Linked DNA regions of Saccharomyces cerevisiae S288C. The protein of the gene in region 1 binds, or shares a complex with, the protein of each later gene. Each region holds a gene or a part of one and is shown in the gene's direction. Other genes may lie near its edges.

Evidence for each region.
Region 2: the proteins of COX5B (region 1) and COX1 are in contact, whole or in part, in a cryo-EM structure (PDB 6T0B), measured with the Saccharomyces cerevisiae proteins. Residues at the interface, in NP_012155.1 of Saccharomyces cerevisiae: Ile72 (codon at 3,012), Ser73 (codon at 3,015), Tyr74 (codon at 3,018), Gly75 (codon at 3,021), Trp77 (codon at 3,027), Pro79 (codon at 3,033), Arg80 (codon at 3,036), Arg81 (codon at 3,039), Val83 (codon at 3,045), His84 (codon at 3,048), Asp88 (codon at 3,060), Phe91 (codon at 3,069), Ile92 (codon at 3,072), Gly95 (codon at 3,081), Val96 (codon at 3,084), Gly99 (codon at 3,093), Leu100 (codon at 3,096), Ile102 (codon at 3,102), Ser103 (codon at 3,105), Phe104 (codon at 3,108), Leu106 (codon at 3,114), Phe107 (codon at 3,117), Val110 (codon at 3,126), Arg111 (codon at 3,129), Leu113 (codon at 3,135), Ala114 (codon at 3,138), Asn115 (codon at 3,141), Pro119 (codon at 3,153), Thr121 (codon at 3,159), Met122 (codon at 3,162); in NP_009305.1 of Saccharomyces cerevisiae: Leu38 (codon at 1,919), Ala41 (codon at 1,928), Ala42 (codon at 1,931), Pro43 (codon at 1,934), Gly44 (codon at 1,937), Ser45 (codon at 1,940), Gln46 (codon at 1,943), Tyr47 (codon at 1,946), Arg333, Leu334, Ala335, Glu407, Lys408, Gln411, Ile412, Trp415, Leu416, Ile419, Asp445, Ala446, Ala448, Gly449, Tyr452, Ser455, Ile456, Phe459, Ile460, Leu463, Asn486, Val489.

What each region holds. Positions count from the first base shown.
Region 1 is NC_001141.2:152,512-156,959, forward strand, and holds COX5B (cytochrome c oxidase subunit Vb), read left to right. Parts: upstream 1-2,710; coding exon 2,711-2,711; intron 2,712-2,799; coding exon 2,800-3,254; downstream 3,255-4,448. Other genes in the region: HOS4 (Hos4p), read left to right, coding at 1-2,335; HPM1 (protein-histidine N-methyltransferase), read left to right, coding at 3,534-4,448. UniProt on the Saccharomyces cerevisiae protein: Component of the cytochrome c oxidase, the last enzyme in the mitochondrial electron transport chain which drives oxidative phosphorylation.
Region 2 is NC_001224.1:12,011-17,578, forward strand, and holds the start of COX1 (cytochrome c oxidase subunit 1), read left to right. Parts: upstream 1-1,807; coding exon 1,808-1,976; coding exon of another isoform or gene 1,977-4,312; intron 4,313-4,424; coding exon 4,425-4,460; coding exon of another isoform or gene 4,461-5,568. Other genes in the region: intron-encoded reverse transcriptase aI2, read left to right, coding at 1,808-1,976, 4,425-5,568; AI5_ALPHA (intron-encoded DNA endonuclease aI5 alpha), read left to right, coding at 1,808-1,976, 4,425-4,460; intron-encoded DNA endonuclease aI4, read left to right, coding at 1,808-1,976, 4,425-4,460; intron-encoded DNA endonuclease aI3, read left to right, coding at 1,808-1,976, 4,425-4,460; intron-encoded reverse transcriptase aI1, read left to right, coding at 1,808-4,312. UniProt on the Saccharomyces cerevisiae protein: Component of the cytochrome c oxidase, the last enzyme in the mitochondrial electron transport chain which drives oxidative phosphorylation.

The sequences.
Region 1 (4,448 bases):
TAACAAGAGTTCTCATATAGCTGTTTCCAAGCGCCCCAAACAGAAGAAGGGCATATATAGGGATTCTGGTGGTAGAACAAGACTACAGATTGCCTGTGACAAGGGCAAATATGATGTAGTCAAAAAGATGATTGAAGAAGGAGGTTACGATATTAATGACCAAGACAATGCTGGTAATACAGCATTGCATGAAGCGGCGTTGCAAGGTCATATTGAGATTGTGGAACTGTTGATAGAAAATGGTGCAGATGTAAATATCAAGTCTATTGAAATGTTCGGCGATACTCCCTTGATCGATGCTTCCGCCAATGGACACTTGGATGTTGTCAAGTATCTTCTTAAAAACGGTGCGGACCCAACTATACGTAACGCTAAAGGGTTAACTGCGTTTGAATCTGTCGATGATGAATCTGAATTTGATGATGAAGAAGACCAAAAGATTTTGCGTGAAATAAAAAAAAGGTTGAGTATAGCCGCTAAAAAATGGACTAACAGAGCAGGAATTCATAATGACAAATCTAAAAATGGCAATAATGCTCACACAATAGATCAGCCACCTTTTGATAATACCACAAAAGCCAAAAACGAAAAGGCCGCTGACTCACCTTCAATGGCTTCCAATATTGATGAGAAAGCTCCGGAAGAGGAATTCTATTGGACAGATGTTACTTCTAGAGCGGGAAAAGAAAAACTGTTTAAAGCTTCGAAGGAGGGACATTTACCATACGTTGGTACGTATGTAGAAAATGGTGGTAAGATAGACTTAAGGTCATTTTTCGAAAGCGTTAAGTGTGGCCATGAAGATATTACAAGTATCTTTTTGGCATTCGGATTTCCCGTAAATCAAACTTCAAGGGATAATAAAACATCCGCTTTAATGGTAGCTGTAGGTCGTGGCCATCTTGGAACTGTTAAACTGCTATTAGAGGCAGGTGCAGATCCAACCAAAAGAGATAAAAAGGGTCGTACCGCTTTGTACTATGCCAAAAACAGCATAATGGGAATAACAAACAGTGAAGAAATTCAATTGATTGAAAATGCTATAAATAACTATTTGAAGAAGCACTCTGAAGATAATAATGATGATGATGATGATGATGATAATAATAATGAAACATATAAACATGAAAAAAAGAGAGAGAAAACGCAATCACCCATATTAGCAAGCCGAAGAAGTGCCACTCCTAGAATTGAAGACGAAGAGGACGATACGAGGATGCTCAATCTGGCAGACGATGACTTTAATAACGATCGTGATGTCAAGGAATCTACAACTTCGGATTCGCGCAAGAGATTGGATGACAATGAAAATGTTGGTACTCAATACTCATTGGACTGGAAAAAACGTAAAACAAATGCCTTGCAAGATGAAGAAAAATTAAAAAGTATCTCACCACTCTCTATGGAACCTCATTCTCCAAAGAAGGCAAAATCTGTAGAGATAAGTAAAATACATGAAGAAACGGCTGCTGAAAGAGAAGCAAGACTCAAGGAAGAGGAAGAATACAGAAAGAAAAGATTAGAAAAGAAAAGAAAAAAAGAACAGGAACTACTACAAAAGCTGGCCGAAGATGAGAAAAAAAGGATCGAAGAACAGGAGAAGCAGAAAGTCTTAGAAATGGAAAGATTGGAAAAAGCTACTTTAGAGAAAGCAAGAAAAATGGAAAGGGAAAAAGAAATGGAAGAAATCTCTTATAGAAGGGCAGTAAGGGACTTATATCCGTTAGGACTGAAGATTATTAACTTCAACGATAAACTTGATTACAAAAGATTTTTGCCGCTATATTATTTTGTAGACGAAAAAAACGATAAATTTGTGCTCGACTTGCAAGTAATGATATTGTTGAAGGATATCGACTTGCTCTCAAAGGACAACCAACCAACTTCTGAGAAGATTCCCGTCGATCCCTCGCACCTGACTCCATTGTGGAATATGTTGAAATTCATTTTCCTGTATGGAGGTAGTTATGATGATAAAAAGAACAACATGGAAAATAAAAGATATGTTGTAAACTTTGATGGGGTTGATTTGGACACAAAGATTGGGTATGAGCTTTTGGAGTACAAAAAATTTGTTAGTTTGCCCATGGCGTGGATTAAATGGGATAACGTTGTTATTGAAAACCACGCAAAAAGAAAAGAAATTGAAGGAAATATGATTCAAATATCAATAAACGAATTTGCACGATGGAGAAACGATAAGCTGAACAAAGCGCAGCAGCCGACGCGCAAACAGCGTTCTCTAAAAATACCTCGAGAGTTACCGGTTAAATTTCAACACCGTATGAGCATATCCTCCGTCCTCCAGCAGACATCCAAAGAACCATTTTGGTAAAACAATTCATCGGTCCGTTGGCATATGCTCATACATAGTTGCATTTTCGATTCATTAAATACTATTCATGTTAACATAATTCCATATAATCGTACTGTTTTGTCATTATTATATCGGCATGACACTCACCAATTTCTTTTTTTGATTTTGTATTGTTCGATAAGGCAACGAACGAGTACTCGAAAAAATGTCATGGACCCCTTAAAATTACTGAGGGGTTCAGAAAATACCGTGCAAAAGACGAAAAAAGACGAATTTCATTTGATTTATATTTTATAAATGACTGTTGCATTAAACAATAGACCAATTATTTCAATTTAATATTCTTTGCAGGAAACTTTCACAATGGAATAACGCCACATATTCATTGTAAAGAGCATGTATAACAAACACTGATTTTTGTTTTGAGTTTTAAAAGATATCCATTTACTAACATTCGAGGTGTACAAGCACAAGTTTTGCAGTGTTGCGTACTTCTCTTACTAAAGGGGCACGGCTAACTGGGACAAGATTTGTTCAAACAAAGGCCCTTTCGAAGGCAACATTGACAGATCTGCCCGAAAGATGGGAAAATATGCCAAACTTAGAACAGAAAGAGATTGCAGATAATTTGACAGAACGTCAAAAGCTTCCATGGAAAACTCTCAATAACGAGGAAATCAAAGCAGCTTGGTACATATCCTACGGCGAGTGGGGACCTAGAAGACCTGTACACGGAAAAGGCGATGTTGCATTTATAACTAAAGGAGTATTTTTAGGGTTAGGAATCTCATTTGGGCTCTTTGGTTTAGTGAGACTATTAGCCAATCCTGAAACTCCAAAGACTATGAACAGGGAATGGCAGTTGAAATCAGACGAGTATCTGAAGTCAAAAAATGCCAATCCTTGGGGAGGTTATTCTCAAGTTCAATCTAAATAAGTAGACGAGGAAAATAAAATTGTTTCGTATATTCCGTGTTTGGGGTATAAGTAGATTGTTTTCATATATACGCATTTGGTCTTAGTTCAGTAGGTTGATTACTTAGTTCCTTGTACCTTCTTCTGCAAATATCATTCATTGTTACTTCGAAGAAGAAAAAAAATAATCATGGAAAATTGGAAAAAAAAAAAGTCCAATCTAAAAAATAAAAATGTTCAAGTCATCGATTCTATGGGGAGGAAAAGGACAATCAGAACCGAAGTGTTGTGTAGCTAAAATATGTCATTTTCCTTCGGCTTTACTTCCAATGACTTTGATGATGATGAGCTTGTTGCTCAACCTGAAACATTCGTTGAAAGCAGCAAAGAAAACGAAAATACCACTGCTTACATCAATCCATTAGATTCGGATTTCTTGTCGCAAGCTGGAGTTGTGCAGCCAAATGTGGAAGACCTAGGAACAATATTGGAAAGTCTTAAGGATGTTAGATTGACATTTGAAGAGTTCCAATCTCCGATATATAGAAAACCATTGATCAAGAGGGAACTATTCGATGTCAAACATCAGCTAATGTTAGAGACAGATGCCCAATCCAACAACAACTCCACGGAACTGGACATTTTACTAGGTGATACTTCTGAAGATTTGAGAAAGAACATCTATGAAGGTGGGTTGAAATCATGGGAGTGCTCTTATGATTTAGTTGATTTGTTGTCAGAGAACGTTGATAGAATAAGCAACGATATCGACGCGGTTGTCGAAATAGGCTGTGGTACGGCACTACCCTCAGAGTTTCTTTTCAGATCTGCTCTTCTACGGAATGATAGAAGTAAAGGTTTAAAGTTTGTTTTGACTGACTATAATGCCAGTGTATTAAGATTAGTTACCATACCGAATTTGGTTATAACATGGGCTAAAACGGTTTTGACAAAGGAACAATGGTACGCCTTACAGAAAGACGAATGTGAAGATATTCCAATAAATAATGAGGAACTGCTTCTTACCTCAAAGCTGTTAGCTGCCTTTTACGACGATGTACAAAGCAGGAATATCAGCGTCACTCTTATATCAGGATCGTGGGGACGTAAATTTAGTAATTTGATCCATGAAGTACTCTCAGGTAGCCAAAAAGTCCTTTCATTATCCTCAGAAACAATTTATCAACCTGACAATTTGCCCGTTATAGCGGAAACA
Region 2 (5,568 bases), on another chromosome or scaffold:
ATTATAAATATATATTTATTTTTTTTTATAAAATAAATAAATAAATAAATAATTAATATTTTTATATTATAACTTATTTTTATAATAATAATAAGTATTTTATTTTTTATTATATTATTATTTATATAATTATATATATATTAATTTCAATTTAATTAATTAATTAATTGGTATTTGGCATATAATATCAATTAATTGTAATTCTTATAAGAATTAATTAATTAATATGCTTTTTATATAATTTATACTTTTATATTTCTCCTTCCGGGGTTCCGGCTCCCGTGGCCGGGCCCCGGAACTATTATTATTATTTTTATTTATTTATTATTAAAATATAATAATAAATAGTCCGGCCCGCCCCGCGGGGCGGACGCCGGAGGAGAATTATATTTTTATATAATAATTTATATTTCTATATATATATATATATATTATATATAAATATTATTATATATATTTTTATATATATTATAATTATATTCATTAATATTTTATTATAGTGGTGGGGTCCCAATTATTATTTTCAATAATAATTTATCATGGGACCCGGATATCTTCTTGTTTTTATTTATTATTTTATTAAATTTATTTTAATTATTTATTTATAATTTATATTATACAATTTATTATTTCGTTAATACCTTTATTTATATTATATAATATATTATATTATTATAATATATTTATTGATTATATTAATACATTTAACTAATGTGTGCTCTATATTTATTGAATAGTTTGGTTCTTATCACCCACCCCCTCCCCCTATTACGTCTCCGAGGTCCCGGTTTCGTAAGAAACCGGGACTTATATATTTAATACTAAAAATATAACTACATTACTTTTTTAATATATATAACAATATATATATATATATATATTAATTATATAAAATATAATACTCTATATTAAATATTATTTTTATCAATATTTATTTATATATATAATAATAATAATAATAATCAATATTAATTATTTATATATATAAGATTAATATTATTTAATATATTATGAATAATTTAATTAATAAATCTTTAAATATTATCATAAAAATATAAATTAAATAATTTCTTATTTATAATAAAGAATAATAATATATATAAATATAATAAAGAATGTAAATAATATATATATAATATAATATAATATAAAAAATATATATATATATAAATATATATATAATATATAGATAATAATATTTTTATATAATTTATTTTATTATTAAGTAATAAATAATAAAAAAATCAATATATTAAATAATATATTTATATTAGTTCGGTTTAGTTGGTATTTTGTAATGAGTAAAAAGTAATATATAATATTAAATAATAAGTATTGATATAAGTAATAGATATAATAATAATATTATTAATATTTTATATAAATAATATTAATAATATAGATTATGAAAGAGAGTATTAATATCATTAAATATATATATATGTTATATAATTTAAATGATTTTAATATATATATATATATTATATTATAGATTATGATACATTTATATAAATAATATATATATAAAAATTAATTATACTATTACTTTATAATATAATAATATTTATTTATAAAGATATAAAAGAATTGTTTAAAGTTATAACTAAAATATTATATAGTATTCATTAATAATTAATATTATAAATTCAACTATTGTTATATTTATAAATAGAATAATATATTATTATCCTTTAAGATATAACAATAATTATTTAAATTAAATTAAATTAAATTTAATTAATTTTTTTTTTTAATGAATATAATAATAATAATATTATTAAAATTAATATATAAAAAAAAAGTAAAAATGGTACAAAGATGATTATATTCAACAAATGCAAAAGATATTGCAGTATTATATTTTATGTTAGCTATTTTTAGTGGTATGGCAGGAACAGCAATGTCTTTAATCATTAGATTAGAATTAGCTGCACCTGGTTCACAATATTTACATGGTAATTCACAATTATTTAATGGTGCGCCTCTCAGTGCGTATATTTCGTTGATGCGTCTAGCATTAGTATTATGAATCATCAATAGATACTTAAAACATATGACTAACTCAGTAGGGGCTAACTTTACGGGGACAATAGCATGTCATAAAACACCTATGATTAGTGTAGGTGGAGTTAAGTGTTACATGGTTAGGTTAACGAACTTCTTACAAGTCTTTATCAGGATTACAATTTCCTCTTATCATTTGGATATAGTAAAACAAGTTTGATTATTTTACGTTGAGGTAATCAGATTATGATTCATTGTTTTAGATAGCACAGGCAGTGTGAAAAAGATGAAGGACCTAAATAACACAAAAGGAAATACGAAAAGTGAGGGATCAACTGAAAGAGGAAACTCTGGAGTTGACAGAGGTATAGTAGTACCGAATACTCAAATAAAAATGAGATTTTTAAATCAAGTTAGATACTATTCAGTAAATAATAATTTAAAAATAGGGAAGGATACCAATATTGAGTTATCAAAAGATACAAGTACTTCGGACTTGTTAGAATTTGAGAAATTAGTAATAGATAATATAAATGAGGAAAATATAAATAATAATTTATTAAGTATTATAAAAAACGTAGATATATTAATATTAGCATATAATAGAATTAAGAGTAAACCTGGTAATATAACTCCAGGTACAACATTAGAAACATTAGATGGTATAAATATAATATATTTAAATAAATTATCAAATGAATTAGGAACAGGTAAATTCAAATTTAAACCCATGAGAATAGTTAATATTCCTAAACCTAAAGGTGGTATAAGACCTTTAAGTGTAGGTAATCCAAGAGATAAAATTGTACAAGAAGTTATAAGAATAATTTTAGATACAATTTTTGATAAAAAGATATCAACACATTCACATGGTTTTAGAAAGAATATAAGTTGTCAAACAGCAATTTGAGAAGTTAGAAATATATTTGGTGGAAGTAATTGATTTATTGAAGTAGACTTAAAAAAATGTTTTGATACAATTTCTCATGATTTAATTATTAAAGAATTAAAAAGATATATTTCAGATAAAGGTTTTATTGATTTAGTATATAAATTATTAAGAGCTGGTTATATTGATGAGAAAGGAACTTATCATAAACCTATATTAGGTTTACCTCAAGGATCATTAATTAGTCCTATCTTATGTAATATTGTAATAACATTGGTAGATAATTGATTAGAAGATTATATTAATTTATATAATAAAGGTAAAGTTAAAAAACAACATCCTACATATAAAAAATTATCAAGAATAATTGCAAAAGCTAAAATATTTTCGACAAGATTAAAATTACATAAAGAAAGAGCTAAAGGCCCACTATTTATTTATAATGATCCTAATTTCAAGAGAATAAAATACGTTAGATATGCAGATGATATTTTAATTGGGGTATTAGGTTCAAAAAATGATTGTAAAATAATCAAAAGAGATTTAAACAATTTTTTAAATTCATTAGGTTTAACTATAAATGAAGAAAAAACTTTAATTACTTGTGCAACTGAACTACCAGCAAGATTTTTAGGTTATAATATTTCAATTACACCTTTAAAAAGAATACCTACAGTTACTAAACTAATTAGAGGTAAACTTATTAGAAGTAGAAATACAACTAGACCTATTATTAATGCACCAATTAGAGATATTATCAATAAATTAGCTACTAATGGATATTGTAAGCATAATAAAAATGGTAGAATAGGAGTGCCTACAAGAGTAGGTAGATGACTATATGAAGAACCTAGAACAATTATTAATAATTATAAAGCGTTAGGTAGAGGTATCTTAAATTATTATAAATTAGCTACTAATTATAAAAGATTAAGAGAAAGAATCTATTACGTATTATATTATTCATGTGTATTAACTTTAGCTAGTAAATATAGATTAAAAACAATAAGTAAAACTATTAAAAAATTTGGTTATAATTTAAATATTATTGAAAATGATAAATTAATTGCCAATTTTCCAAGAAATACTTTTGATAATATCAAAAAAATTGAAAATCATGGTATATTTATATATATATCAGAAGCTAAAGTAACTGATCCTTTTGAATATATCGATTCAATTAAATATATATTACCTACAGCTAAAGCTAATTTTAATAAACCTTGTAGTATTTGTAATTCAACTATTGATGTAGAAATACATCATGTTAAACAATTACATAGAGGTATATTAAAAGCACTTAAAGATTATATTCTAGGTAGAATAATTACCATAAACAGAAAACAAATTCCATTATGTAAACAATGTCATATTAAAACACATAAAAATAAATTTAAAAATATAGGACCTGGTATATAAAATCTATTATTAATGATACTCAATATGGAAAGCCGTATGATGGGAAACTATCACGTACGGTTTGGGAAAGGCTCTTTAACACGTGGCAACATAGGTTAATTTGCTATTTCATTTTTAGTAGTTGGTCATGCTGTATTAATGATTTTCTGTGCGCCGTTTCGCTTAATTTATCACTGTATTGAAGTGTTAATTGATAAACATATCTCTGTTTATTCAATTAATGAAAACTTTACCGTATCATTTTGGTTCTGATTATTAGTAGTAACATACATAGTATTTAGATACGTAAACCATATGGCTTACCCAGTTGGGGCCAACTCAACGGGGACAATAGCATGCCATAAAAGCGCTGGAGTAAAACAGCCAGCGCAAGGTAAGAACTGTCCGATGGCTAGGTTAACGAATTCCTGTAAAGAATGTTTAGGGTTCTCATTAACTCCTTCCCACTTGGGGATTGTGATTCATGCTTATGTATTGGAAGAAGAGGTACACGAGTTAACCAAAAATGAATCATTAGCTTTAAGTAAAAGTTGACATTTGGAGGGCTGTACGAGTTCAAATGGAAAATTAAGAAATACGGGATTGTCCGAAAGGGGAAACCCTGGGGATAACGGAGTCTTCATAGTACCCAAATTTAATTTAAATAAAGTGAGATACTTTAGTACTTTATCTAAATTAAATGCAAGGAAGGAAGACAGTTTAGCGTATTTAACAAAGATTAATACTACGGATTTTTCCGAGTTAAATAAATTAATAGAAAATAATCATAATAAACTTGAAACCATTAATACTAGAATTTTAAAATTAATGTCAGATATTAGAATGTTATTAATTGCTTATAATAAAATTAAAAGTAAGAAAGGTAATATATCTAAAGGTTCTAATAATATTACCTTAGATGGGATTAATATTTCATATTTAAATAAATTATCTAAAGATATTAACACTAATATGTTTAAATTTTCTCCGGTTAGAAGAGTTGAAATTCCTAAAACATCTGGAGGATTTAGACCTTTAAGTGTTGGAAATCCTAGAGAAAAAATTGTACAAGAAAGTATGAGAATAATATTAGAAATTATCTATAATAATAGTTTCTCTTATTATTCTCATGGATTTAGACCTAACTTATCTTGTTTAACAGCTATTATTCAATGTAAAAATTATATGCAATACTGTAATTGATTTATTAAAGTAGATTTAAATAAATGCTTTGATACAATTCCACATAATATGTTAATTAATGTATTAAATGAGAG